Linked DNA regions of Stegostoma tigrinum. The protein of the gene in region 3 purifies or fractionates together with the protein of the main gene of each other region. This does not show direct contact. Links are inferred from orthologs where the notes say so. Each region holds a gene or a part of one and is shown on either strand. Other genes may lie near its edges. The genes, in order: lrp6, ghitm, pomk and tmem59.

Region 1 (7,635 bases), on a different chromosome or scaffold from region 3:
ATTCTTGTTGTGCATGCTTCTTTCTAAACTGCAAGTTATATCTTACAAAACTGTAAAACTGTCAAAATGACTTCAGCAATTGGTAGATGAGTGCTCATGCCACTGCACAAGTGCAAACTGGAAATTCTTGCCCAAAATAAAGACTGGTCAGAGATTTCCAAACTGTCTCAGTACATTTGCACAGGTAGTAGCTCGAAAACTGACTTACACGGTTCTAAATATGATATTCCAAAATGTTAGAAACTATCTGAATACAAAGGATGTATTTGATTAAAATAATGGAATGAGAAATACATCAGTTCCATTAACTGGAACTATGGCATAATTAACCTAAACAGTGCTTTAGGCTTTAAATTCCCCACCTTATTCCCCCCCAACTCTATTTAATTCAGTTGAATTGAAACAGTCTTGTTGCTTTCAATATTTCAGTGCTGTAGGGAATCTTGAATGAATTGTTATTGAAAAGCAGAAACAGTGAAATTTAATTTTAAAAAACCTGCGTCAAATTAGAGATTACTACAAATAAATTTTCAGATTTAACATATTCCAAAGTGGCAAACATGGCATTTTCAGAGATAATAGGAACTGCAGATGCTGGAGAATCCGAGATAACAAGGTGTGGAGCTGGATGAACACAGCAGGCCAAGCAGCATCAGAGGAGCAGGAAGGCTGACGTTTCGGGTCAAGACCGAAACATCAGCTTTCCTGCTCCTAAGATATTGTATTTTCAGTGCAACTTTACAGGATTATGACTATAAAATACAAAATTACAATTCCAGAATGGCTGTATACTTAAGATTACATTACTACTCTGGATAAACAGAATTATAAACATCATGGATACCTGGTGTGAATTAAATTGCAGCAATGTAATCACAGACTGCCCAATACCTTTATGACGACATACCAACTAAAACTAAATTACTTCAACAGTAATCCTCACGGAAATAAGCTCTTTGAGATGTCGAAGGTATTGCACATTTCAAATTGACATCCCAGAATGTTTGGAATCAATACAAAAGGCAATAAGGTCAAGTCCTTCACCAGACTCCCCGTTCCAACTAACTAATGGAACTGCACAATAATGAGAAAAATAACTCAATTTTTACACAAATATGACCCCCACCACACCTCGCCATGAAAAATATGGAGTCAATTTTGAGAGCATCAGGTGATTCTGTGCATTGACAACTTACATGCAAAACAAATCACATGGGTAAAGGTGAGGGGAATTTTACCAATTAACCACTTGGATTCTAAACATCTGTTATTATTAATATGCCTGCAATTACGATCAGGCATATAAACTTGTACACTATTTCATATTCAACACCTAGCAGTTTCTCCTAGGATTATATGTACTGCATTGAACTTGTTTTGAAGTATATACAAAATATTCTTTAAAAAAAAACAAACCTGCAGAAGCTGGAAATCAGAAAGAAAAACAGAAGGCTGTGAGGAAGGGTCTCTGGACCTGAAAGGTTAATTGATTTCTCTCCACAGATGCTGCCAGACCTGCTGAGATTTTCCAACAATTTCTGTCTTTATTCGTGACAAAATATTTAAAGCTTCTTTCACTTAATCTGTCATGTAGGCAACATGTATTTAAAAATTACCTTTTTCTAAAAAATAACGCAAGTTCTTTCACCTTCCAAGATTAGTTATATTAATCTAATTGCAAATTAACTAGTACCTACCTGTCAGGGTTCCTCAAAGTTGCAATCCAGAATGTGAACATGTGAAATTTGGAATTGCACTATTAATAAAGTAATTTGTCTGTGGTATATGTGTAACCAGATACAAGGCTGCACTCGAATTACCCATGAACGATTTGTTAGCCCCCGAAAGATATCTTTCCTGCTTTTGTCGACAATGACTTAATTCACGTATGTTTTACAGGACTACCTGTTGCATTTGCCTAGAACTAACGTGTTCAACGAATGCAGGACTGAAAAAAGGTGTCAGTTATTGTTTAATAAAATAATTAAATTTGAAATCTGATCTGTAGCCCTGTAGAGAATGTGATTTTAAAGAAAGCTCTTTCTGATCAGCTATTATGAATAAAATAGAATACGGTAAAGAAATATGTCTCCAGAAAAGTTGTAAAACGTATTTAAAGCAACCCGAGTGCACAGCCGAAATTCTTTTATTTGCTCTTACAAGCAGGCCCTTCCTAAAACAAAACTAAACTGCTCTTACAAATGAATTAAGATTTCGAATGGACAGATCGGATCCGTCCGTCTGTTTGTTCGGGAACACTTCGATCGGCTTTTAGTGCTCCATAAACAACCAAAAGATGGTAAGCAGATGCTTAAAAGCATTGCAGAAAAAGTTCCAGCAGACCCGTTCCTCCCCATTGAGCACCCTGCGCTGTGTTTTGCCAAGCATTTCCCCCGCACAAAGTGGCAGCACTCCTGAGTGAGAGAGAGAGAGAAATCGCGGCATTCATTCCACCTCACGGCCGGCTCTCTATCACACACACACACACACAAAACCATTCCAGCAGCTAAAAGCGTTGAACGACGTTAGAGTTTATAGTTGAACCATTCGCCTTCCAATATAAATGGCAATGCATGTAAACCGGGGCAGAGAAAGCCCCTTCACCTTTCCCTTCTGCCCCCGTAGACAGCCAACCCCCCCCCCCAACGAAACACACACACACACCATCAGCCCCCTCGCGGGCCCCTCACAGTAACATGCAAGACCGTTCTCACTCAGCCTCCTTTTTTTAATAAAACCAAGAGAGAGGGCCAACCAATCTTTTAACTTTTACTCACCCCTTATCAAAGAGCAAACGCTGCACAACAGCAAACTCCTCAGCGCGGTACCCATGTTTCCCCTCCCCCCCCCCTTCTAGGCAGTCAAAGAGAGCTCAACGTGGCGCCACATTGAAACACATAGTTACAATTCCTGTGACTTTGGGCAGCGCTACAAAGTATCTCGCTCGCCAGCCATGGTTCCGTGGCCTCTCTATCTCCGCTCACCGTCGGCGCAAGCACACGCCTCCTCTCCCTCCGCCACTAACACCCTCCCTTTTCCTTTGCCCTGTTTCTCTCCCGGCGTACTATTTTCTTTACGGCAAGCTCGCTGGGAAAGAAAAGAGCCTTTTTAGTTCATTGTTCCTCCCCATGTGCCCCCTCCCGGGTGTGTAAAAAGATATATTCCCCCGCTCAGTCTCTCATGCATCTTCTTAACCGAGGCTTGGAGCGAGCCTTCCCGGGGATTTCTTTTGCAGCAGAGAGTGGTGCTCTGCCTTAGAACAACATAACCATTTGACCTGGACTGCGGCGCTACTTTTTTTTAATACTAGAGCATCAAGTATCCTTTGTACATGGCTGCGCGTTCAGGTAGTGTGTGTAGGAGGTGTGGGAACGAGGAGACGGTGTTAGGGAGATGGGGACGGTGTCTTTACCCACGTTAATGAAAGAGAGATTACTGCAATTAAATCGAAGGAGCGGGTGGGCTGGGCAGCGGGAAATCACATCTTTGCATTGAAATGTCGCCGTCAAAAATCCTTCCAAAGATGCTCTGGTTGAGAAATTGCGACAACATTGTGAAGAGTGATTTTTCACGCTCAAATAAATATACACGCGTAAAATAAAATTCGTTTTAGATAAAATTGTTATTTCTTTCCTTTCTTTAAAAGGTTTTAATGTGATATGAATTCCAAGAACCTCTTCCACGAATTATCCATCCATATAGGTTTAAGAAAAACGAGAACTTGCCGTCAGCAATGAAAGAAAACGAACAATTCCAAAACATTTCACACGTTTTTGTTTCTGGCATTAAAAATGATTAAACTCAGTTTAAATGTCTTACTGAGTTTATCTATGAGAGAGCTAGACCATGACGACGAATACATTTGGTCATAAACTGGAGATGGTTCTGCATCCGTGCTGGACTACGTGTTAAATCAGCAGCCTCAGAAAATCAATGCATGTAGTGCTCAAATAAAACAAAGAACTGCGGATGCTGGAGATCTCAAAGAAAAACAGAAATTGCCGGCGAAACTCAGAAGCAAGAGTCACCGAACTCCAATTGTTAACATTGCTTCCTCCTCACAGATCATGCCGGACCTGCTGAGTTTCGGCAGCAATTTCTGTTTTTGAGTTGGCACCGCTCAACACTTAAAACAAAAGTATGTGAAGAAAGAAAAACAAACAAAATGATACGCATTTGTTTTTGTGAAAGAAGCGAAAATAAATTAAGTTTAGGTGGTTTGGAATATGAAGCAGCTCCCCCCGCAGTGTTGCTCAGGTCAGCCAGACGGAAGAGGACCATGTCGTGGTCAGCAGATCTGACAGTATCTGCGGAGAGAGAAACCGAATTTAGACGGCAAGGCGAATACGATTTTTAGTGAACTCAGCCAGAGAAAACATTTTTATTTTAGATATTACCAGGTGTCATAGTATTTTGTAACCAAGTAATTTACCACAAACAGTAAGAGATAATTGTTCAGCGTCAGAGCAAGTAAGGATGCTTTTTAAGGTCTGCAACATTCAGACTTGGTTTTGGAGGTTGAGGGTCTGGGAGGTTATGTTATAGACCAGACTGGAATTTGGGAAGGCATGGAAAATTACGTAAGAGCTAAATTGCTGCAGATTTGGGGCAGTACCTCAATGGTTAGTACTGCTGTCTCAGAGTACCAGGAACCTGGGTTCATATACCAGCCTTGGGTGACAGTCTGTGTGGAGTTTGCATGTTCTCCCTGTGTCTGTGGATTTCCTTCCACAGTCTGAACATGTGCAGTTTAAGGCCATACTAAATTGCCCATAGTGCCCAGGGATGTGTAAAATTAGGTGGATTAGCTATGGGGGAATACTGGGTTATAGGGTAGGGTGAGGTGGTGAGTCTGGATGGGGTGCTCTTTAGATAGTTGGTGTGGATTTGTTGAGGTGAGTGGCCTGTTTCCACACTAGCAAAAAAAACATGTCTGTAAGACCAATTGAGGTGAGAACCTGGGAATTCCAACTCTATCTGCAAGTTATCAGGAGGAAGTTGAAAAAATATGCCTGCTCAACCTCATCTCTCTCTCTTCAAGTTTGTCTTCTGCCCACTAATCCTTATGTTTGTTCTTACTTCCACTTTCTCCTTTCCCGTACTCCCTGTTCAATGTTTTACATGCCCACCTCATTTGACATTCCCATGACCACTATTTTCCTTCTATTCAACCTCCCCTAACCTCTCTTTACTTCTCTTTACCTCATTCTATGTTTTGTCTCATTCCTCTTTCTTTCCTCTCTCTTTCCTACCCTGTACACCTTTTCCCCCTTGGTTCGCAAAGCTTTTATTGAGCATTAGAAATCGCAGTCATTTCAGAAAAGAATGTACTAAACGTGAAGCATTTTCAACCATCAATGGGATTTCACTTGCTAACAGCATTTTTGCGCTACATTGAAAATATTTACCAAAATAATGTATGCTAGGTATTTAGTGTCAGTTAAATATCAACATCATAATCTTAATCTTAAGTAAGTAACTTGTATGACAATAAATTCCACAAAACTCGGTTGCAATGAGAAATTCACATAACTGTAATAAGGAATACAGAAAATGCTGGAAATACTCAGCAGTTCTAGTAGCAACTGTCCAGTGAGAAACTCTTCAACACTGTTAAGGGCAGGACTGAAGGCAGGCGGGCATGGAACTACAAACTGGCCTGTATACCAATTACCTGCCTCCATCCCATCCTGGCCATTTTTTAGAAGGTAGGAGTGACAATAGGGAGGTTGAGGGAGCTGGGCTACTCATCTGTAAGAGTTAGATAACCTAGTGAGCTAATTTAAGGGCTTTCTGGAGCCTGGTATCAGTGGCCAACTAGCATTTTGCAGTCAGCCTCATAAGCCCATAGAGGTGACAGGGGACATTTTAGCTGACTGGTGGTGGCCTTCTGGCTGTCCATAGCTACTTGGGTTCAGAGTAGGCACATTGCAGTTTAAATGTGAAAAAGTTGGAAAGAAGGCATTTTTTATTCATGGGATGTGGACTTCATTGGCTGGGTCACCATTTATTGTTCATCTCCAGTATCCACTGAGAAGTTTATGGTGAGATGCCTTCTTGAACTGCTGAAATCCATTTGGCATAAGTCCATCCACAATGCTGGTTGGGATGGAGTTCCAGGATTTTGATCCAGCAACATTGAAGGAAAGTAACATTTTTTCAAGTCAGAATGGTGTGTGACTTGGAAGGGAACCTGCGGGTAGTGGTCTTGCCATGTATCTGCTGCCCTTGTCTTTCTATATGATAGTGATCATGGGTTTGGAAGAATCCTGTCTAAGGGTCTTTGGCAAATTTCTGCAGTGCATTTTGTAGATGGTACACACTTCTACTGCTGAGCGTTGGTGGTGGAGGGAGTGAATATTTGAGTTGCCAATTAAGCGAGCTGCTTTTTCGTGGATGGTGTCAGGCTTCTTATTGGAACTGCACTCATCCAGGCAACTTGGGAGAGTTCCATCACAACTCCTGACTTGTGCCTTGTGGATTATGGACAGGCTTTGGAGAATCAGGAGTTGACTTACACACTGCAGAATGCCTAGCCTCTGGTCTGCTCTTGTAGCCACAGTATTTATGTGGTTAATCCCATTCAGTTTCTGGTCAATGGTAGACCCAGAATGTTGATAGTGAGTAATTCAGCATTGGTAATAACATTGAATGTCAAGGAGTGATGGCTAGATTTTCCCTCGATAGTGATGATCATTACATTGCAATTGTACAAATGTTACTTGCTATTTGTTAGGGGCGGCACAGTGGCTCAGTGGTTAGCACTGCAACCTCATAGTGCCAGGGACCCGGCTTCAATTCCAGCCTCGGGCAACTGTCTGTGTGGAGTTTGCACATTCTCCCTGTGTTTGTGTGGGTTTCCTCCCAGAGTCCAAAGATGTGAGGTGAGGTGGATCGGCCTCGCTAAATTGCCCGTAGTGTGTGGGTTATAGGGGGATGGGTCTGGGTGGGATATTCCAAAGGGCAGTGTGGACTTGTTGGGCCAAAGGGCCTGTTTCCACACTGTAGGGAATCTAATTAATCTAGTCCAAGCCTGGATATTTCCACATCTTGCTGCATTTGGATATGGACTACTTCAGTATCTGAGGAGTCTGTGTTGGTGCTGAACGTGCCCACTTGTTAACTTATGATAGAGATAATGTCATTGATGAAGCAGTTAATATGGTTAGGCCAAAGAAACTAGACACAGGAATTCCTGCAGAGATGTTCTGAAGCAGAGATGACTAACCTCCAACAACTACAAACATTTTCTTTTGTGCCAGGTATAACTCCAACTCATTTACTCCTTGATTCCCATTGACTCCAGTTTTGCTAGGGATCCTTGCTGCCACACTAAATCAAATGTGACTGTGATGCCACAGGCAGTCACTCTCACCTCCTCTCCAGAATTGAGTTATTTTGTCCATGCTTGAACCAGAAGCTCAGTAGCCCTGACTGAACCCGAACTGATCACAAGTGACCACGTTATTGCTCAGCAAATTGTGTTTGATAGCACTGTTGGTGGCAACTTCCAGAACTTTACTGAGAACAGAGAATAGACTGATGGGGCAGTTATTGATTAGGTCAGATTTGACCTGCTTTGTGTATAGGACAAACCTGTCAATTTTCCACATGGCTGGGTAGATGTTAGTGTTA
Region 2 (7,597 bases), on a different chromosome or scaffold from region 3:
TGATGGAGGCAGAGGAACTGGGAAAATGGAATAGAGTCTTTACAGGAAGCAGGGTGTAAGGATGTATAGGTGATAATGGGAACTGCAGATGCTAGAGAATCCAAGATAATAAAATGTGAGGCTGGATGAACACAGCAGGCCCAGCAGCATCTCAGGTGCACAAAAGCTGACGTTTCGGGCCTAGACCCTTCATCAGAGAGGGGGATGGGGTGAGGGTTCTGGAACAAATAGGGAGAGAGGGGGAGGCGGACCGAAGATGGAGAGAAAAGATGATAGGTGGGGAGGAGAGTATAGGTAGGGAGGGGATAGGTCAGTCCAGGGAAGACAGACAGGTCAAGGCGGTGGGATGAGGTTAGTAGGTAGATGGGGGTGCGGCTTGGGGTGGGAGGAAGGGATAAGGTGAGAGGAAGAACCGGTTAGGGAGGCAGAGACAGGTTGGACTGGTTTTGGGATGCAGTGGGTGGAGGGGAAGAGCTGGGCTGGTTGTGTGGTGCAGTGGGGGGAGGGGACGAACTGGGCTGGTTTAGGGATGCAGTAGGGGAGGGGAGATTTTGAAACTGGTGAAGTCCACATTGATACCATTAGGCTGCAGGGTTCCCAGGCGGAATATGAGTTGATGTTCCTGCAACCTTCGGGTGGCATCGTTGTGGCAGTGCAGGAGGCCCATGATGGACATGTCATCTAGAGAATGGGAGGGGGAGTGGAAATGGTTTGCGACTGGGAGGTGCAGTTGTTTGTTGCGAACTGAGCGGAGGTGTTCTGCGAAGCGGTCTCCAAGCCTCCGCTTGGTTCCCCCAATGTAGAGGAAGCCGCACCGGGTACAGTGGATGCAGTATACCACATTGACAGATGTACAGGTGAACCTCTGCTTAATGTGGAATGTCATCTTGGGGCCTGGGATAGGGGTGAGGGAGGTGGCGTGGGGGCAAGTGTAGCATTTCCTGCTGTTGCAGGGGAAGGTTCCGGGTGTGGTGGGGTTGGAGGGCAGTGTGGAGCGAACAAGGGAGTCACGGAGAGAGTGGTCTCTCCGGAGAGCAGGCAGGGGTGGGGATGGAAAAATGTCTTGGGTGGTGGGGTCGGATTGTAAATGGCGAAAGTGTCGGAGGATGATGCGTTGTATCCGGAGGTTGATAGGGTGGTGTGTGAGAACGAGGGGGATCCTCTTAGGGTGGTTGTGGCGGGGGCGGGGTGTGAGGGATGTGTTGCGGGAAATACGGGAGACGCGGTCAAGGGCGTTCTCGATCACTGTGGGGGGGAAAGTTGCGGTCCTTAAAGAACTTGGACATCTGGGATGTGCGGGAGTGGAATGTCTTATCGTGGGAGCAGATGCGGCGGAGGAATTGGGAATAGGGGATGGAATTTTTGCAGGACGGTGGGTGGGAGGAGGTGTATTCTAGGTAGCTGTGGGAGTCGGTGGGCTTGAAATGGACATCAGTTACAAGCTGGTTGCCTGAGATGGAGACTGAGAGGTCCAGGAAGGTGAGGGATGTGCTGGAGATGGCCCAGGTGAACTGAAGGTTGGGGTGGAAGGTGTTGGTGAAGTGGATGAACTGTTCGAGCTCCTCTGGGGAGCAAGAGGCGGCGCCGATACAGTCATCAATGTACCGGAGAAAGAGGTGGGGTTTGGGGCCTGTGTAGGTGCGGAAGAGGGACTGTTCCACGTAACCAACAGAGAGGCAGGCATAGCTGGGGCCCATGGCCACCCCCTTAGTCTGTAGGAAGTGGGAGGAGTCATAAGAGAAGTTGTTGAGGGTGAGGACGAGTTCAGCTAGGCGGATGAGAGTGTCGGTGGAGGGGGACTGGTTGGGCCTGCGGGACAGGAAGAAGCGGAGGGCCTTGAGGCCATCTGCATGCGGAATGCAGGTGTATAGGGACTGGACGTCCATGGTGAATATGAGGTGTTGGGGGCCAGGGAATTGGAAGTCCTGGAGGAGGTGGAGGGCGTGGGTGGTGTCACGGACGTAGGTGGGGAGTTCCTGGACCAAAAGGGAGAAAATGGAGTCCAGATAGGTGGAGATGAGTTCGGTGGGGCAGGAGCAGGCTGGTCAAAACACTTGCTTCCAGGTTAGGATAAACAGTACAATAGCATTAAGAGGAGAAACTGAAGGTTATTCAGTTTTCATTTTCAAGTCAAGATAACATTAACACAAAAACGTGGGGCAATAGATACCTAGTTTGATTCTAACTCATAGCATTCACAGTTGAGATCTGAACAATAATCACATGGTGCAATACAGACAGTCAACTGCCTCACACAATTACAATCCTGCCATCCCATGAGCAAAGGATTAGAAGCAGCACAGAAAATGAGAAGCCAAATCCAAAAAACAGACGGGAGGGAATTGTGAGATAACAAGTACAATCTTCATCAAGTTCACAAGAGATATTAGTGGATCTACCCTGTATTGCGATTTCAGACGGATGAACAGTAGGTATGACATTAACAGTCAAACAGCTCTGGCTCAGAAACCACAACTCTGTTCCTCTGTGTAGGAACCCAAGCATAATCTCTTCAGGGGCATGGGGAATGGGGGAGAATAACGTCTATCACCCCGGGTGGCGGGGAAATAATCACTCTCACCCTGAGGGGGGAGGCAGGCTGGGGGGTGGGGACAGACAACCTCTCGCACCCCGGGGGAAGGCAGGCTTGGGGGGTGGGTGGTGTGGGGAGAAACAACCTCTCTCACCCCGGGGGGAGGTGGGGTGGGGGTGGGGACAGATAAACTCTCACACCCCGGGGGGGGGGGGGTGGGGAGATTATGTCTCTCATTCCGGTGGTAGGAGGGTTAACAACGTCTCTCACCACGTGTGTCTCGTTCCCCGCCGGGGGGGGGGGGGGGGGGGGGGTTTGGATTCTCGCTGAGCCGGGCCCTATCCCAGTTGCGGGGGGAACGGTCCCTCACCTCTCCGGCTCCAGTTGCTGCGCACTCACTGTCGGCTTCTTTCCGGAACCTTCTCCAGGGGGTAGACGCATGCGCCGTGGCGGCACTACAAGGCCGAGAATGCCGTGGGGAGCGCGAGCGTACGTCACGTGCATCGCTGTCTTTGTTCTGATTGGTGAAGCGGCGAGCGTCTTCAGCGACCACCAATGATTGGGCCTTAGAGTTTCCTGGGCAACAGGGGCTGGGGAGTGATTACCCCGTGCCCTGGATACCCCAAACACCGCCCCCCAACCTGAATCCATCTCCACTCTGACCCTCACCCTCACCCCATCCCAACCCCCAATCTTCATCCCCTCCAACCTGAATCCATGTCCACTCTGACCCTCACCCTCACCCCATCCCAACCCCCAATCTTCACCTCCCCAACCTGAATCCATGTCCACTCTGACCCTCACCCTCACCCCATCCCCCAATCTTCACCCCGCCCAACCTGAATCCATCTCCACTCGGACCCTCACCCCATCCCATCCCCCAATCTTCACCCCCTCCAACCTGAATCCATGTCCACTCTGACCCTCACCCTCACCCCATCCCAACCCCCAATCTTCACCTCCCCAACCTGAATCCATGTCCACTCTGACCCTCACCCTCACCCCATCCCAACCCCCAATATTCACCCCCCCAACCTGAATCCATGTCCAATCTGACCCTCACCCTCACCCCATCCCAACCCCCAATCTTCACCTCCCCAACCTGAATCCATGTCCACTCTGACACTCACCCTCACCCCATCCCAACCCCCAATATTCACCCCCCCCAACCTGAATCCATGTCCACTCTGACCCTCACCCTCACCCCATCCCCCAATCTTCACCCCGCCCAACGTGAATCCATCTCCACTCTGACCCTCACCCCATCCCATCCCCCAATCTTCACCCCCTCCAACCTGAATCCATGTCCACTCTGACCCTCACCCTCACCCCATCCCATCCCCCAATATTCACCCCCCCAACCTGAATCCATGTCCACTCTGACCCTCACCCTCACCCCATCCGCCAATCTTCACCCCGCCCAACCTAAATCCATCTCCACTCTGACCCTCACCCTCACCCCATCCCATCCCCCAATCTTCACCCCGCACAACCTGAATCCATCTCCACTCTGACCCTCACCCTCACCCCATCCCCCAATATTCACCCCCCCAACCTGAATCCATGTCCACTCTGACCCTCACCCTCACCCCATCCCAACCCCCAATATTCACCCCCCCAACCTGAATCCATCTCCACTCTGACCCTCACCCCATCCCATCCCCCAATCTTCACCCCTCCAACCTGAATCCATGTCCACTCTGACCCTCACCCTCACCCCATCCCATCCCCCAATCTTCACCCCCTCCAACCTGAATCCATGTCCACTCTGACCCTCACCGTCACCCCATCCCAACCCCCAATATTCACCCCCCCAACCTGAATCCCATCTCCACTCTGACCCTCACCCCATCCCATCCGCCAATCTTCACCCCGCCCAACCTAAATCCATCTCCACTCTGACCCTCACCCTCACCCCATCCCATCCCCCAATCTTCACCCCGCACAACCTGAATCCATCTCCACTCTGACCCTCACCCTCACCCCATCCCCCAATCTTCATCCCCTCCAACCTGAATCCATCTCCACTCTGACCCTTACCCTCACCCCATCCCATCCCCCAATCTTCACCCCGCCCAACCTGAATCCATCTCCACTCTGACCCTCACCCCATCCCATCCCCCAATCTTCACCCCGCCCAACCTGAATCCATCTCCACTCCGACCCTCACCCTCACCCCATCCCCCAACCTTCACCTCCCCTCCAACCTGAATCCATCTCCACTCTGACCCTCACCTTCACCCCATCCCATCCCCCAATCTTCACCCCACCCAACCTGAATCCATCTCCACTCTGACCCTCACCCCATCCCAACTCCCAATCTTCACCTCCTCCAACCTGAATCCATCTCCACTCTGACCCTCACCCCATCCCAACCCCCAATCTTCACCCCGCCCAACCTGAATCCATCTCCACTCTGACCCTCACCCCATCCCATCCCCCAATCTTCACCCCCCCAACCTGAATCCATCTCCACTCTGACCCTCACCCTCACCCCATCCCAACCCCCAATCTTCACCTCCCCAACCTGAATCCATCTCCACTCTGACCCTCACCCTCACCCCATCCCCCAATCTTCACCTCCCCAACCTGAATCCATCTCCACTCTGACCCTCACCCTCACCCCATCCCCAATCTTCACCCCGCCCAACCTGAATCCATCTCCACTCTGACCCTCACCCTCACCCCATCCCAACCCCCAATCTTCATCCCCTCCAACCTGAATCCATGTCCACTTTGACCCTCACCCTCACCCCATACCCCAATCTTCACCTCCCCAACCTGAATCCATCTCCACTCTGACCCTCACCCTCACCCCATCCCATCCGCTAATCTTCACCCCGCACAACCTGAATCCATCTCCACTCTGACCCTCACCCTCACCCCATCCCCCAATCTTCATCCCCTCCAACCTGAATCCATCTCCACTCTGACCCTTACCCTCACCCCATCCCATCCCCCAATCTTCACCCCGCCCAACCTGAATCCATCTCCACTCTGACCCTCACCCCATCCCATCCCCCAATCTTCACCCCGCCCAAACTGAATCCATCTCCACTCCGACCCTCACCCTCACCCCATCCCCCAATCTTCATCCCCTCCAACCTGAATCCACCTCCACTCTGTCCCTCACCCTCACCCCATCCCCCAACCTTCACCTCCCCTCCAACCTGAATCCATCTCCACTCTGACCCTCACCTTCACCCCATCCCATCCCCCAATCTTCACCCCACCCAACCTGAATCCATCCCCACTCTGACCCTCACCCCATCCCAACTCCCAATCTTCACCTCCTCCAACCTGAATCCATCTCCACTCTGACCCTCACCCCATCCCAACCCCCAATCTTCACCCCGCCCAACCTGAATCCATCTCCACTCTGAACCTCACCCCATCCCAACCCCCAATCTTCACCCCGCCCAACCTGAATCCATCTCCACTCTGACCCTCACCCTCACCGCATCCCCCAATCTTCACCTCCCCAACCTGAATCCATCTCCACTCTGACCCTCACCCTCACCGCATCCCATCCCCCAATCTTCACCCCGCCCAACCTGAATCCATCTCCACTCTGACCCTCACCCTCACCCCATCCCCCAATCTTCACCTCCCCGACCTGAATCCATCTCCACTCTGACCCTCACCCAATCCCATCCCCCAATCTTCACCCCGCCCAACCTGAATCCATCTCCACTCTGACCCTCACCCTCACCCCATCCCCCAATCTTCACCTCCCCAACCTGAATCCATCTCCACTCTGACCCTCACCCTCACCCCATCCCATCCCCCAATCTTCACCCCGCCCAACCTGAATCCATCTCCACTCTGACCCTCAACCTCACCCCATCCCCCAATCTTCACCTCCCCAACCTGAATCCATCTCCACTCTGACCCTCACCCCATCCCATCCCCCAATCTTCACCCCGCCCAACCTGAATCCATCTCCACTCTGACCCTCACCCTCACCCCATCCCCCAATCTTCACCTCCCCAACCTGAATCCATCTCCACTCTGACCCTCACCCCATCCCATCCCCCAATCTTCACCCGCTCCAACCTGAATCCATCTCCACTCTGCCCCTCACCCTCACCCCATCCCCCAACCTTCACCTCCCCTCCAACCTGAATGCATCTCCACTCTGACCCTCACCTTCACCCCATCCCATCCCCCAATCTTCACCCCACCCAACCTGAATCCATCTCCACTCTGACCCTGACCCCATCCCATCCCCCAATCTTCACCTCCTCCAACCTGAATCCATGTCCACTCTGACCCTCACCCTCACCCCATCCCATCCCCCAATCTTCACCCCCTCCAACCTGAATCCATGTCCACTCTGACCCTCACCGTCACCCCATCCCAACCCCCAATATTCACCCCCCCCAACCTGAATCCATCTCCACTCTGACCCTCTCCCATCCCATCCGCCAATCTTCACCCCGCCCAACCTAAATCCATCTCCACTCTGACCCTCACCCTCACCGCATCCCATCCCCCAATCTTCTCCCCGCACAACCTGAATCCATCTCCACTCTGACCCTCACCCTCACCCCATCCCCCAATCTTCACCTCCCCGACCTGAATCCATCTCCACTCTGACCCTCACCCAATCCCATCCCCCAATCTTCACCCCGCCCAACCTGAATCCATCTCCACTCTGACCCTCACCCTCACCCCATCCCCCAATCTTCACCTCCCCAACCTGAATCCATCTCCACTCTGACCCTCACCCTCACCCCATCCCATCCCCCAATCTTCACCCCGCCCAACCTGAATCCATCTCCACTCTGACCCTCAACCTCACCCCATCCCCCAATCTTCACCTCCCCAACCTGAATCCATCTCCACTCTGACCCTCACCCCATCCCATCCCCCAATCTTCACCCCGCCCAACCTGAATCCATCTGCACTCTGACCCTCACCCTCACCCCATCCCCCAATCTTCACCTCCCCAACCTGAATCCATCTCCACTCTGACCCTCACCCCATCCCATCCCCCAATCTTCACCCGCTCCAACCTGAATCCATCTCCACTCTGCCCCTCACCCTCACCCCATCCCCCAA
Region 3 (6,931 bases):
TTTCTCTCTCCACATATGCTGCCCAACCTTCTGAATATTTTCAGAACTTTCTGTCTTAATCGAGGATTGGAGAGGGAAGAGTTTACCTGCTTCACAGCACCTCGACCAATCAGCTTCACCACAGTAACCTCATTCTGAATCACCTCGCAGGACAACCAGGAGAGGCAGTCCTTCATTCCCCCCAGCCGGAAGTGACCATACGAGCATGAATCTGAACTATTGTCTACTGGTCCCTTTGTCCATGGCAAATGGTGCAGGAGTTCCATCCGGAAGAATGTGGTGACTGAAAGCAGAGCCGCAACAAGAGATATGAGAGCCAGCGTCACTCTCAGTAGCATCGGAGGGCTGTGGTTACCAACCGTTGCCCTCTGCATCTTCAAAATTCTTGGTCACCTGTATAGAAATGATTCATATTGCAAAAGAGTGAGTCCATGATAGCTTCTTACTCTAAGGCTAAGAATGATGATGTATGTCCCTCCTGAATGGGGATATATGGGCAGATCTTGACTGGGTGGGGAGGTTGGGAGTACCAAAGGACTATGTGAAGCCTAGCTGATTGCTGCAGAGGGAAGGAAATTTGATGAGTGTGTGTGTGACTGGAACCGTTGCATTGCAGATGAATGCATTTTTAAAGCGGGTGTATATATACTCATGTGTATATTGTATTTTACACAAAATGTAAATATGAACAAGGTTTCTTCCAACATTAATGTGCTGAAGAGACTAATGAGATTCATGTGGTGAATGCATCTTTCTTTAAACGGGAAGGAGAGTTTTATATTGGACGTTTCAGAGATGAACATTAATTAAGGACTATGCATGAAATGTTGGCTTCACTGACTGGGTTACTATTTATTTCCCATCCCTATTTGCCCTTGAGAAGGTGGTGCTCAGCTGCCTTCATGACCATTGAAGTCCATTTGCTGTAGGTAGACCCACAGTGCAGTTAAGGAGAGAGTTTAAAGATTTTAATTCAGCAACATTGAAGGAACAGTAATATACTTCCGAGTCAGGACGATGAACGGTTTGGAGGTGAGCTCACAGGTGATGATGTTCCCATCTGTCTGCTGCCCCTGTCCTTCTTGGTAGAAATGGTCATGGGTTTGGAACCTCGGTGGGTTTCTGCAGTGCACCTTGTAGAAGACACGTACTGCTGCTACTGAAAGCTGAGAGTGGGGATGTGGTACCTGTCAAGTGGGCTCATTTGTTTCTGGATGATGTAAAACTTCCGAATGTTGTTGAAACTGCACTCATCCAAGCAAGTGGGGAGTGTTCCACTCCTGACTCGTACCTGTAGATAGAGGACAGGCTTTGCGGACTCAAGAGGTGAGTTACTTGTTGCAAGTCTCCAAGCCTCTGACCTGCTCTTGTAGCCACTGTATTTGTATGATTGGTCCAGTTCTGTTTCTGATCAGGGGTAGCACCCCCACCCCACCCCCAAGGATGTTAATAGTGAGGAATTCAGAAATGGCAATGCCATTAAATGTCAAAGAACAATGGTCATGTTGTACAGTTGCCAACTCTGGGTAGACATTCCTTGACCTTCAACCTTTACTTGCTTTGCCCATGCAAAATTGCCACCTTCCCCCCAGTATTTCTATAATCTGAAGTGTAAAAATGATATGAAAAGCAAACACGGTTTTATTAGTACCTCTATCTATCCTAATGAGGAACCTGGAGGTTCTCCTTTAATTCCGGGAGGGTTGGCAGGGCTGCTTCAGTCCACTGTTCGGTCGCTCTGTTGTCGGCCTGCAGGGTCTAATGTTCAATGTTCCGTCTTCTCCGTCTGACACAGGATGAACCGAGGCCGGATCGAGCCTCTCCCGGAGCCGAAGCGGCCTCTCAAGCCCGCCGTGTGTCTGGGAGGAGCAACCCGAGCCCGAGCCGGCCCGCTCGCTGCAGACAGACCGGCAGCAGGGATGAAGAGCTGCCCCCTCCGCCCGTTAACCGGCACCCGTCCCCGCCTAAAGATCACGGACAAGGCGCTGTACCATCGCCCGGAGTCCACCGCAGCCAGTGACGAACTCAAACACACGCACAGAATAAAACAGATACAAGGCTATAGACACAGAATAAAACAGATACAAGGCTATACACACACACACACAATAAAACAGATACAAGGCTATATAGAATAAGATAGATACAAGGCTATACAGAGAGAGAGACTAAGATAGATACAAGGCTAATACACACACACACACACACACACACAGAATAAAACAGGTACAAGGCTATAGACACAGAATAAAACAGATACAAGGCTATATAGAATAAGATAGATACAAGGCTATACAGATAGAGAGACTAAGATACAAGGCTAATACACACACACACACACACAATAAAACAGATACAAGGCTACACACAGAGAGAGAATAAGACAGATACAAGGCTATACACACAGAGGAAATAAGACAGATACAAGTCTAACACACACAGAATAAGACAGATACAAGGCTGATACACACAATAAGATAGATACAAGACTAACAGAGAGAAAATAAAGACAGATACATGCCTAACACAGAGAGAGAACAGGATAGACGCAAGCCTGAGAGAGAGGAATAAAGACAAACACAAGCCTAGCAGAGAGAGAGAAATTGGAAACCCCAAACCCTGACTGAGAACAAGTCAGTGATAAAACCCAGGCACTAAGGGATAGAATCAGGCAAAGACACGGACTGAACCAGTGAGAGACACAGCCCCAACCACATACACACATACAAAATAATAAACACAAGCCTAACAGGGAGGCAGTGCAATTCAATTCCAAGCCAGTGAGAACAGAACTAAAACATAATGAGAAAAACAGAATTACAGTCACAAACTGAGAGAGGCACAGTGAATTACATAGACAAGACCAGGCATCGACTCATTCAAGGAACATGACGTGAAGATAGGGACCAGAGAGATACAAGCCTATTAGAGACAAGTCTGAGAAAGAGACACACAAACCCAGACACCATTCCTGAGTCAGACAAAAAGACTCAAACCTAAGCATAGCGAATGAAAGAGGCAGATGGACGCACTTGGGCAGAAAGACAATAATCCAGAGGGAGACGTAGATACAGATACAAACCCAGACATAAACAGAGGCACAACTGAAAAAGGCAATCTCCAGGCCATGCAGACATAAACCCAGATAAGCAGTCAGAAAGATCCAAGGCGGCACATTAAATTGGATTTTAATGAGCTGTTGAGCTCCACAGAAATAAAGTCACATGCTGTAAATATTTTGAGAAAATGTGAGAGGTGATGGTGTGCTAAATCAGGACCATTTCTGTGAAATCAAGCACCTAGATTATCAAAGGGAAAAAAGACAATGGAGGACAGGTGGATAGGGAGAACAAACCATTCTGGAAAAGCAAGGAAAGAATGCATTAGTGTCTTTTGCCATAAGTCCTCATTTCAGCTGCAATGGTGTAATGAGAATCAACAGGTAAGAGCTGCTTAGGAGTAAGGAACAATTAGAACTAGATTGACTGCAGTGTTGATCAAATAATGAGAAACAAAGTAACAAATAAAAGATATAGAAGAATGAAAAAAGCATCAGATGAGTTTTCTTTTGACCTGTCCAGGAATGTCTGATGATCAAAATTTGGGCAGATATGAGTTTTATTGAGAGGGAAAATTGAGATAGAGGCAGCTATTAGCAATAGAATTGTGAGGTGCATTTAGAGTCAGAGCCATTCAGAGTGTAACTAGACCCTTCGGTCTAACTTGTCTGTGCCAACCATACATCCCAATCTGACCTAGTCCCATTTACCAGTGTTTGGCCCATATACCTAAAACCCTTCCTGTTCATATACCCATCCAGATGTCTTTTAAATGTTGTAATTGTACCAGTCTCCACCATTTCTGGCAGCTTGTTCCTCTGTGTGAAAAATATTATTCCTCAGATCCCTTTGTAATCTTTCCCCCTCACCTTAAACTTATGCCTTCTAGTTGTGGCATTCCTAGCGAAAAGACCTTGGCTATCCATCCTATCCATACCCGTCATGATACAAGGAAGCTGAAAATATCAAAAGAGAAAGAAGAAGGAGCTTTCACACAAACTGCAATTGTCCAATTCACATCCAGCTTCTCCTGTCCAGCTGTCCAGATCCAAACACTGCAAGACAATTACTGATGTTCTGCCCTCATTCATACAGGACAATGCCATATACGTGAAAAAAGAAGCAGAACTGAATCAACAGCTACTAAGGATACCTGACATGTCCTGTGCACTACAGACATGATCCAGTACATCATGGGATTTGCTGGAGTGGAGCTTGTATCATCCTGTGTCATTGAGACTAAGGGCTCATCTAACATCTCAGTGAAGGCACAATGGGCTGAATGACCTCTTTTAGCAACTTGATTCTTCTAAGATTCTGAAATTGTCCTCCCTTCTGAATTAGCAGCTTGACTTTATGCTGCTTTCTGGAGCTTCAGGTGGTGTAGTCACAAACTTCTTCCTTTCCAACTGAGCCCTCTCCCCTCACTCCACTGGTTTTCTGCTTTCATTCACACAACAGCTGTCATCAACTACAGTCCAAAAGTGAATGGGCTCTGCCACTTTACTTATCTTTATCTCTGCCACCAGTTCAGATATTAGTACTGAATGTACTTCAGGTGCCCACACAAAGTTGGAATCTGCATGTTAAGTCAACGGGCTTAAGTGAGGCTATCACCAAATAAGAGGATAGTTTGTGTGGGAACTCACTGAAGGGAGAACTTGGATAGATTCTGTTGCAGGGTTTTCGGATGAGGTAGGACAAACACGAGGGAATGTTGATGAGAGTGCTGTCAGCCTCTTGTCACTGCTAAGGAGCAGGGAGGTATGCAGTTCTGTTTGATGGGGCTTTAAAAGAGTTTCCCCCTCTGCAGCTTGTGCTCCATTTCCTTGTCATCTCTTAGACCTAGAAGCAACTGCAACTGCTGTTTGCTACATGTTGCATGTATGTATAGGTCAGTAAAACTCTGCCTGCCTTTTGAAGATGCAGCAATACTGTTAAATTCAGGAGCTCCATCAACACAAAACATAGGGCCAACACTCATTGCAGTACTGAGTGAGTACTGTGCTTTTGGAGGTGCTGCCTCTCAGAAGATACATTAAACAGAGGCTCCATCTGTCTGCCTGGGTAGACAGAAGATTCCATTAGGGTTCAGAAAATCTTTACAAGGATGTTGCCAGGGTTGGACCTCTAGGGAGAGGCTGAATAGGCTGGGGCAATTTTCAGTGGCGCATCAGAGGCTGAGGGATGACGTTATGGATATTTATAAAATCATGACAGGGCATGGATAGTGTAAATAGCCTTTTACTCAGGGTGGGGAGTCCAAACCCAGAGGGTATAAGTTTAAGGTAAGAGGAGCAAGATTTAACAGGGACAACTTTTTCACACAGAGGGTAGTGCAAGTATGGAATGAACTGCCAGAGGAAGTGATGGGCACTGGTATAATTACAACATTTAAAAGGCATTTTGATGGATACGTGAATAGGAAAGGTTTAGAGGGATATGGGCCAAATGCTGGCAAATGGGACTGGATTAATTTAGAATATCTGGTTGGCATGGATGAGTTGGACTGAAGGGTCTGTTTCCGTGCTGTACATCTCTATGACTCTATCAGAAGTGTTATCCCCAATGACTCAGTCAACATTTGTCCCTCAATAAAATTCACAAAACAAAAAAAGTGTCTGGTCATTTTATTGCTTTTTATGGGACATTGCAGAGTGGAAATTGACTGTTACCTTCCCTATGTCACAAAGATGACTACACTGTGAAATGCTTTGGGATGTCAGATGATCACTAAACATACTACATAAATGTAAGCTGGAGTTACTGTGATCACTATGCAGAGGGCTTCTGCCTTCAACGTACTTGATGATTTGAATTTCACACAACACTTTCTGACCCAAACGGCAATGCAGTCACTAATTAATACTGCCTTTTTAATTAGTGAATGATTTAAATCAAATAGCTTCATGCATTCAAAATCAGAAATTACTGGAAAAACTCAGCAGGTCTGACAACATCTGAGGAGTGAAAGCAGAGTTAACATATCAGGTCCAGTGACCCTTCAGAACAGTCCAAAGGACTTTGATTCTGAAGAAGCGTCACTGGATGCAAAACATTAACTCTGCTTTCTCTGCACAGATCTGCTGAGTTTTTCCAGCAATTTCTGATTCTGTTTCTGCTTTCCAGCATCTGCAGTTCTTTATTGTTTTTGTTTCATGTATTGTTTTTAAATGTAAATGACATGAGAGAAAACACATCACTTCACAAGATTTTATTGACGGACAGTAAAATCTGTACAACACTGTAGCTTTGTGAATATTTCACTGCAGTTGTGACAACTAAAAAAAGTAATTTTAAATAAGTTCCAATATCCCCCTAAATAAAGCTGATTTAGTAACAATTATGTTCTCTTGCTTTGTATTTAGTTTATAAGTGTGGATTAAAGGCAAAAACGTGATAATAACATTGTTGTAGAGTTGCTGTTTATTCCTTAGCTTTGTGCTTCAATATATATACACGTACAAAATGTTATGTTTTTACACATTTACATGCACAAGGGTGCGGTGTAGATTGATGTTAAGAAAATTAAAGAGGAATGTGAAAAAAACAACCACTTTTTGCCCTTTTAACTAGGAGATACAAACTACAGAAATAGTTTTCAGTTATTGCAGCCTTCCTGAAGGGGTGCTTCACTTTCCGTAGGTTCAGTATCTTCCTGCTTAACACCATACTTCTCTTTCAGGCATCTTGCAAAGTATCTCCAGTACTCCTGCCGGATAGTGTCCTTTTTTACAGCAAGACACTCACACAGCTGAAAGAAATCAGAATCAGAAGATTTAAAAAAAATAAAATTTTATCCATTTCCTCCCCAAATTCATTAAATCTTAACTTCCCAAACTCATTTCAATAACCTTTATTAATGCAGGGCC
Region 4 (7,243 bases), on a different chromosome or scaffold from region 3:
GATTAAAAGTTTAACTACCACACACAAAAGTTCAAAAATACTGTTTGACTTGATCACACTGACATTTATAGCTCAGGTGTGACATAAGCAACAGTCTTTTTTGTATGATTGAAGGAAAATTTCATTGCCTTATTGAAAAAGAGTTCCAGTCATTTGTTCAACTTTTAAAAGTTATTTTTTTCTCCCAGACAGAAAAGCCAGCCAAATATCTAGGGGAAAAGAAAAATTACTCTTTGTTGAGAATTAAGTGGTGTAGTGAGGGATGCTCTGCACTTGCCAGAAATGATGAAACGGACAACAGCAGGTTTTTTTTTTTAAAAAAAAATCAGGTCTCAGATCAAAGCCAACAGAACGAATGCAATATGCATCTTACATTTTTTTTTTAAAAAGCACTGCAGGAAAGTAAGTCAGCATGTAGTAATAAATTTGGTCCTTAAATTTCTTAACAGAACTATTTTGAAGCCAGAAAGGGTTTGCTGTCTTGGCTGCAGCCAATAGTCCGTGTACTTGCAATTGAAGTTTTCAAAAAAACCTTTTCAGAAAATTCTAATATGATCTGACCTGTCACCTTAATCTCAAGTGACATCACAATGACAGCAGTGACAGAAGTTACACTTGATTTTTCAAAACCACAAAGTTTCAACATGTTCCTTAAAAACACCCAAAATATTTAAAATACTTCACTTGTGCCAGCTGTGCTCGTATCACACGAGGGGGGCCCAGGGCAGTAGATGCACAAGACCACCACCATCTGCAAGTTCCCTTCCAAATTAACCTTCCTGGTCTTGGAAAAATGACGGTTCTTCCATGTTGCTGGGGTAAAAGCTTGAAACTCTCTTCTTAACAGCAATCTGAATATCCCAAAACATTCCCATGGACTGCAATGGTTCAATCTATTTTTCTTCAATCTGTTCAGAGATCTGTTCACATCTCTGGGGTAGGTGAAACTTCAACTTAGGTCCCTGGGCTCATGGGTTGGGACACTACCACCATAACTGAGCCCTGACAATGGTTCAAGGCATAAGCTCATGACTATCACCACCTTAGAGCCAATTAAACCTGGGCAGTGAATGTCAGATGCTTACTTAACCATGATCATGCCACATGTTACCTCCCCAAACTCAACCAGGAGCATGACAAACTTAAATTCAACACTTTCCTTCAACTCAAGTCTCCCAACCAAGCTACTGAGAAGTCCTCACAGATAAAAGATTTCCCTGGCCAGCATGGTGAGTCACTCATTGGAATGAAATCTAATTCCTAAATTCAGGAGGAGGTTAGGCACAGGCCAACTCAATATATGCAAAGTGTGATGGTTAAATGTAACCAAATCACAAATCATACAGTAACTTAAATAATTGATTGATAGCTATTTTGGCACATGTGACAATAAAGAGTGAAAAGCTTTGCTTACAAGTAGTACAGACAGACCACAGTGCGCAAAATATGTATAGACCAAAAAGACCTAGGAGGTATACAAATTACATTGCACAGAGCATGTGCTAGGAGAGATCAACATTAGCAAGATCAGAAGTATTTGAGGCTACAAAATCCATTCAGTCTGATAACTGCTGGGAAGAAGCTCTTCCTAAACCTACTTGTGTTTAGGCTTCTGCATCTTCAGCCTGACAGAAGAAATTGGAGGAGATCATCACTGGGGTGCAATGGGTCTTTGATGATGTTGGCAGCCTTTCTGCAGCAGCAAGCCACATAAGTGGAGTCCATGAAAGGAAGGTTGGCTTCGGTGAAGTTCTGGGCTGTGCACAACACCTTCTGTAGTTTCTTGCAGTCCTGGGCAGAGCAGTTGCCATACCACACACTCAACACATTACATTAGGATATGTTTATTTTATTAGGCCAAAACAGCTCTCAAACTCCATACTTACAAGACTATCTAATTCAGGCACCCACTGAGATACCTCACAATGCAAAACTTCTGACTCCTGCTGCAGGCATGACAAAGTGGTGACTGAACCCCGGATCAATACTGTACAAGGCAAAGAATGGCTGAGCCCTGGTTTCTAATTTTTTTTGACAATTTCAAAACTCCAAACCAAATAAACTCATTTGTTTCAGATAAAAAAAACGGCCCGTACACGATGTTGGTTAATTAAAGGGAGATAAATCGTGTCATGAATTGAACATTGACAACAAAGTTTAGAGCTGGATGAACACGACAGGCCGAGGAGCAGGAAAGCTGACGTTTGGAGTCTAGAACTTTCTTCAGTAACCCAGCATCGGCAGTTTCTACTGTCTGTTTGAATTGGTCATTAAATGAGTTTCACACAAAAAAATACAACAGTGCAAATGACGAATAAATGGAGACAGCAGCGGTTATATTCACACACACTGGAATGTATTCGATGTGCGTTATCATGTAAACGACGGCCACAAAGCTACTGTCAAAAGGCCAGAGCAAGGGGTAAAAATAAACGATGTCACGTGAACGTTTTATAGAAAGACTTCACTGCCAGCTTTCGAGCAACGAAAAAAAACATATTCCGGTTCCTCTCGAGTAGTGCAACTTTTCGATCGTTCAGAGTTAATTACTTCTCTGTGCAACTAACAACCTCGTTCGAAACCCCCATCCCCAAAAAGGGCTCGCCAACTCAGTTCAAATGTTCGAACAAATAAATTGCAGATTTCAACCATCTGGATCACACAAGCATTCCTTGGCGCGAAAATAAACCCAAGGGGACTAACAGAAGTATTAACAAAGAAACAGCCTTCTTAGGCTAAACACAGGCCTGTCTCTACCCCTGGCCAACCGGGCAGCCTTACCTTCGGGTAAGTATGCAGGCTGTAAGTCATCTCGCAGCTTCTCTGACACGACGCCGTGTCACCTAAAACCGCTTCGAAAGCATCGGAAGCCAGCGACGGGGTAGAGAAGGAAGACAAAGCAAACCCCAAGCACAGTAGAAGGCTAACGACAGAAGCTCTACAATGGAGCTGTCCCGCTACCTCCGCCATCTTCAGTCTGTTTGTTGTGATCCAACCCACAACGCACACACGCCCTCCAACCACCCTCAGTGACCTCAACTCTTATTGTCCGCTCTTTGTTTTTGAAATTTGTATGACCCTCATTTAACCGAGATAGAGCCGAACTACAAAGCCAAGGCTTGCTTTTGGACTTTGTGTTATTTATAGATAATTCCTTCTCTAAATTTTTTTAACTTCAAAATCATCGCCGGAAATTGTCTGCGTAGGGGATGCTGGGATATGTAGTTTTTTCCCCTGGATTTTTAAGCATGCGACTCCCAGCATGCACCGGGCGAGGACGCTGGGGAGAGGAGGTGGTCGTTGCTAATGGATCGCTTTGTGAGGAAGGGCCGGGATCTGAGCCTAGCGCTGCACCCAGCTAAGGTTTATCGCCAGGTCACTCTCGAGTCTTTAAAGGTAGAGTCCTGGCTTCTCTGGCACCGTCGAGTTACTTGGGTTAAATTGTAAGGCCGGATGCTTTTATTTTTAAGTGCAGGTTTTTCTTGCGAGCTGCCCTCCCCGTTGCCTGCTGACCCTCAGCTGCAGTTTATTGTGTCGCGGCAGGAGAAGGCTGTTGGTGCTCAGTTAAATATTCCCCCGTTACGGGCATGTTTTTCAGAATCAAGGAAAGGCTGGAGATGGGAGAGATTTTATTAGAGAGTCGCAGATCAGTGTCTTTTCCATCACACGCGAAAGAAAACAAAATTGGCAGAGAAACTCAGCAGGTCTGGCAGCATCTGTGGAGAGAGAAACAGAGTTGACGTTTTTTCGGCTCCAGTCTGAAATTCTGAAGAAATCACACTGGACCCGAAACTTGACTCTGCTTTCTCTGCACAGGTTTTGTCAGACCTCTGAGTTTCTCCGCCAGTTTCTGTTTTTGTTTCAGATTTCCAACAACTGCAGCTCTTTTGTTTTATTTTATGTTAATCCGTTTTCCACAGTGTGCAGAATGCCCTGGCAAACTACCCAGCTCCACCCTCCCTTTGTTCCCTCCTGAAAGTGCTTGAATGGTTCTCATCCCCAAATCCATACCTGCTTTTCATGGAATTCCATGTTTGAATTCTTCTGTTCAAGTTTCTGCCTTTGATGCATGACAAAATGACATCCTTTGTGATCGACAAAGGGCGAACTTCCTTCCTTATCTTTATCAGATTCTCCCCAACTTTGACATCATCAGCTGCACCATCCTCCCCTCATGCTTCTTAACTCAGCTGGATCGGTAGGATTACCTTCACTTGGTTATGTTCTTGTCTATCGAACCACAGCCAGAGAATCACCTGCCACTAGCTCTGCTGTTCTTGAAGGTCAGCTTCCCTATTACTCTGCTCCATCACCTTGCTGCTGAACCCAACCCTCTTCCAGATACCTGCCTGAGGCTAAATCTGACTTTTGCAAATTTAATGTAGTTTTTCATCCCATGATAAGATCCTGACTCTGTGTGTACAGTAGGACAGCCTATTTTTATGCCAATTACATTGACTTTACAGAAGGAGAGGATTAAATAGCTTTGAAATATGAATTTGGGGGAGAATTCAAAAAGACAGAAAATAACATGATGAAGAATTTCTTTTGATGAACTTAATTAGGAAAAGGTAGAGAATTTGGGGAGGCACGTTTCGAGAGGAAAAGGACCAAAAAGTGATATGGGGAAACTTCTAAGAAAGAAGAGGTAGGAAGAGAATGTGAGTGTTGGATGGTATGAGGTGAGGGCAAATGGGGGAAAAAATGGTAAAAATTATGGAAAGACTCTATGAACCTTAAGTTCACCTGGACCATCTCCAATATATCTCTCTCCCCTTTCCGGACCCCTTTATTTCTATCTCTGGCAATGACCTGGAAACCGACATCCAGTTCAAGCCTACCAACTCCCACAGCTACCTAGAGTACACCTCCTCTGACCTACCTTCCAGCATAAAGGCAGTTTCCTATTCCCAAATCCTTTGCCTCCACCGCATCTGCTCCCGAGATGAGGCATTCCACTCCCAGACATCTTCATTTTTCAAGGACCGCAACTTCCCCCTCCACAGTGGTCGAAAACGCCCTCGACCGCGTCGCTCGCATTTCCCATAACTCATCCCTCACACCTCCTCACCACAACAATAACCAAAACAGAGTCCCCCATGTCCTCACGTACCACCCCACCAACCTCCAGATCTAACTGGACCCCACCACCAAAGACATTTTTCCCTCCCCACACTTATCTACTTTCCGGAGGGACCACTCTCTCTATGACTGCCTTGTCTGCTCCACGCTCCCCACCACCCCGGCACATTTCCCTGCAACCGCAGGAAATCACTCCCCCCCCCCCCCCCCCCCCCACCCCCATCCCAGGCCATAAGAAGATCTTCCACATCAAACAGATGTTCACCTGCACATCTGCTAATGTGGTGTACTGTATCTGCTGTTCCCGTTGCAGCCTCCTCTACATTGGGGATACCAAGCAGAGCTTGGGGACCGTTTTGTAGAACACCAACATTCGGTTCGCACCAAACAACTGCACTTCTGTGAACTATTTCAACTCACCCTCCTACTCCTTGGACAACATGTCCATCCTGGGCCTCCTGCAGTGCCACAGAGATGCCACCGAAAGGTTGCAGGAACAGCACCGCATATTTTGCTTTGGAACCCTGCAGCCCAACGGTATCAATGTGGACTTCACAAGCTTCAAAATCTCCCCTCCCTCGACTGCATCCCAAAACCAACCCAGCTCGTATGCGCCTCCCTAACTTGTCCTTCCACTGTCCACTCCTCCCACCTCAAGCCCCACCCCCATCTCCTAACTACTAGATTCATCCCACCCCTTCAACTTGTGAGTCCTCCCTGGACTGACCTATCCCCTCCCTAACTCCCCACCTACCCTCACCTTTCCTGGCTCCAACCTCACCTCCTTGACCTGTCTGTCGTCTTTCCACCTATCGTCTCCTTTATCCATCTTCTGTCCGCCTCCCCATCTCTTCCTCTTTATTTCAGAATACCCCATCTCTTCCCCATTTCTGAAGAAGGGTCTAGGCCCGAAACGTCAGCTTTCCTATTCCTCTGCTGCGTGGCCTGCTGTGTTCAATCCGCTCTGCACCTTGTTGTCTCATATTCTCCACCATCTGCAGTTCCTACTATCCCAGTGAACAATGTATCCATCTCTGGACAAAGCAGACCTCGTGATGGTGAAAATTGCCCCCAACACTGCTGCTGGCCAAGCTCATCTGCTGCCGAAAATCTTGCCTATGTCTGAATTATCTTTTAATTTTGACCATCCCGATGCCACCCTGGACAAACTCCAGGTTCTACCCTCTGTAAATCTGAGGTCAGCCAAGACTCTGTTGGCCATGCTCTCTGCTAACTGACTTACTTTGGCTCCTGCTAAATATACTTCTTCAATTTTAAAATTCCTCACTCGCTCTTTGACATCTGTCTTTGCCATTTCTCTAATCTCTGCTAGCCTCTCAGCCCACCAAGATGTCTGCATATCTAATTCTTGTCTCTTGTGGGTGTTCAATTTTAATTACTCGACCAACAATTGTGCTTTCAACTACCTGAGCTCTAAACACTGACATTCTCTCCTTTAAGGTCTCTATTTGTTTCATCCTTTTAATGTACGTTTTAAAATTTAACTCTTACCAAAGTTTTGGCATCTGACCAAATATAATGTGTAGTTAAAATTAAAGATATTTACCCTTGCTTAGCTGATGTACCATTTATCTAGTGGTTAAGGTTGAATTCTGTCGCTTCTACTTTTGTTACAGTAAAAGTTATCTTATTATTGCATATTTTGAGGAATTTGTCACTTTAAAATGTCAAGTTTTTGGGATCATCATAACAAATATACATACTATCCTTAAATCATGTCTATAACTTTGGATGATCTGCATTTTTGTCAGTGTTTACATTTTTTGCAATTTTAATTCTTAATGTCCATGGCTTTACAATGCAAAATATGTTTGATTTCCTCCTAAACCTTAAACACTACAGACGTATTACATGATTTTGATATTTTTTGCTGAAATAGTTTTTGGGTGATGACTATTGTTTTTATTCTCCAAACAGAGAGTTGTGGTGATTGAAGATATTAAGAGATGTAAGTCTATTTTGGAACTGCCTAATCAAACAAAGGAAAACTTAATGGAAGCATTAAATGAATTAAAGAAGAAAATACCTTCACAAGAAGTATTGCTGTCAACTAAAATAGGTGAAGATTATAACTGCACAGTTCTTACTTTCAAGATTGTAATTTGACATCTGACAAACTTTTAAAATTATGATATTAGTA

Evidence for each region.
Region 1: the proteins of pomk (region 3) and lrp6 purify together in Homo sapiens (affinity purification with mass spectrometry; 3 studies listed by BioGRID and IntAct, counting the BioPlex papers as one, with this or other methods). This does not show direct contact. The link is inferred for Stegostoma tigrinum from reciprocal best matches to the Homo sapiens genes POMK and LRP6.
Region 2: the proteins of pomk (region 3) and ghitm purify together in Homo sapiens (affinity purification with mass spectrometry; 3 studies listed by BioGRID and IntAct, counting the BioPlex papers as one, with this or other methods). This does not show direct contact. The link is inferred for Stegostoma tigrinum from reciprocal best matches to the Homo sapiens genes POMK and GHITM.
Region 4: the proteins of pomk (region 3) and tmem59 purify together in Homo sapiens (affinity purification with mass spectrometry; 3 studies listed by BioGRID and IntAct, with this or other methods). This does not show direct contact. The link is inferred for Stegostoma tigrinum from reciprocal best matches to the Homo sapiens genes POMK and TMEM59.

Annotation. Positions count from the first base shown.
Region 1 is NC_081371.1:27,847,830-27,855,464, reverse strand, and holds the start of lrp6 (low-density lipoprotein receptor-related protein 6), read right to left. Parts: upstream 3,021-7,635; 5' UTR 2,833-3,020; coding exon 2,778-2,832; intron 1-2,777. UniProt on the Homo sapiens protein: Component of the Wnt-Fzd-LRP5-LRP6 complex that triggers beta-catenin signaling through inducing aggregation of receptor-ligand complexes into ribosome-sized signalosomes.
Region 2 is NC_081390.1:4,683,596-4,691,192, reverse strand, and holds the start of ghitm (growth hormone-inducible transmembrane protein), read right to left. Parts: upstream 3,016-7,597; 5' UTR 2,904-3,015; intron 1-2,903. UniProt on the Homo sapiens protein: Plays an important role in maintenance of mitochondrial morphology and in mediating either calcium or potassium/proton antiport. Mediates proton-dependent calcium efflux from mitochondrion.
Region 3 is NC_081354.1:14,842,984-14,849,914, forward strand, and holds the start of pomk (protein O-mannose kinase), read right to left. Parts: upstream 3,020-6,931; 5' UTR 1,652-3,019; intron 394-1,651; 5' UTR 375-393; coding exon 87-374; exon of another isoform or gene 45-86; intron 1-44. Other genes in the region: fnta (protein farnesyltransferase/geranylgeranyltransferase type-1 subunit alpha), read right to left, coding at 6,661-6,813. UniProt on the Homo sapiens protein: Protein O-mannose kinase that specifically mediates phosphorylation at the 6-position of an O-mannose of the trisaccharide (N-acetylgalactosamine (GalNAc)-beta-1,3-N-acetylglucosamine (GlcNAc)-beta-1,4-mannose) to generate phosphorylated O-mannosyl trisaccharide (N-acetylgalactosamine-beta-1,3-N-acetylglucosamine-beta-1,4-(phosphate-6-)mannose).
Region 4 is NC_081361.1:41,411,650-41,418,892, reverse strand, and holds the start of tmem59 (transmembrane protein 59), read right to left. Parts: upstream 3,010-7,243; 5' UTR 2,971-3,009; coding exon 2,782-2,970; intron 1-2,781. Other genes in the region: tceanc2 (transcription elongation factor A N-terminal and central domain-containing protein 2), read left to right, coding at 3,307-3,396, 7,021-7,162.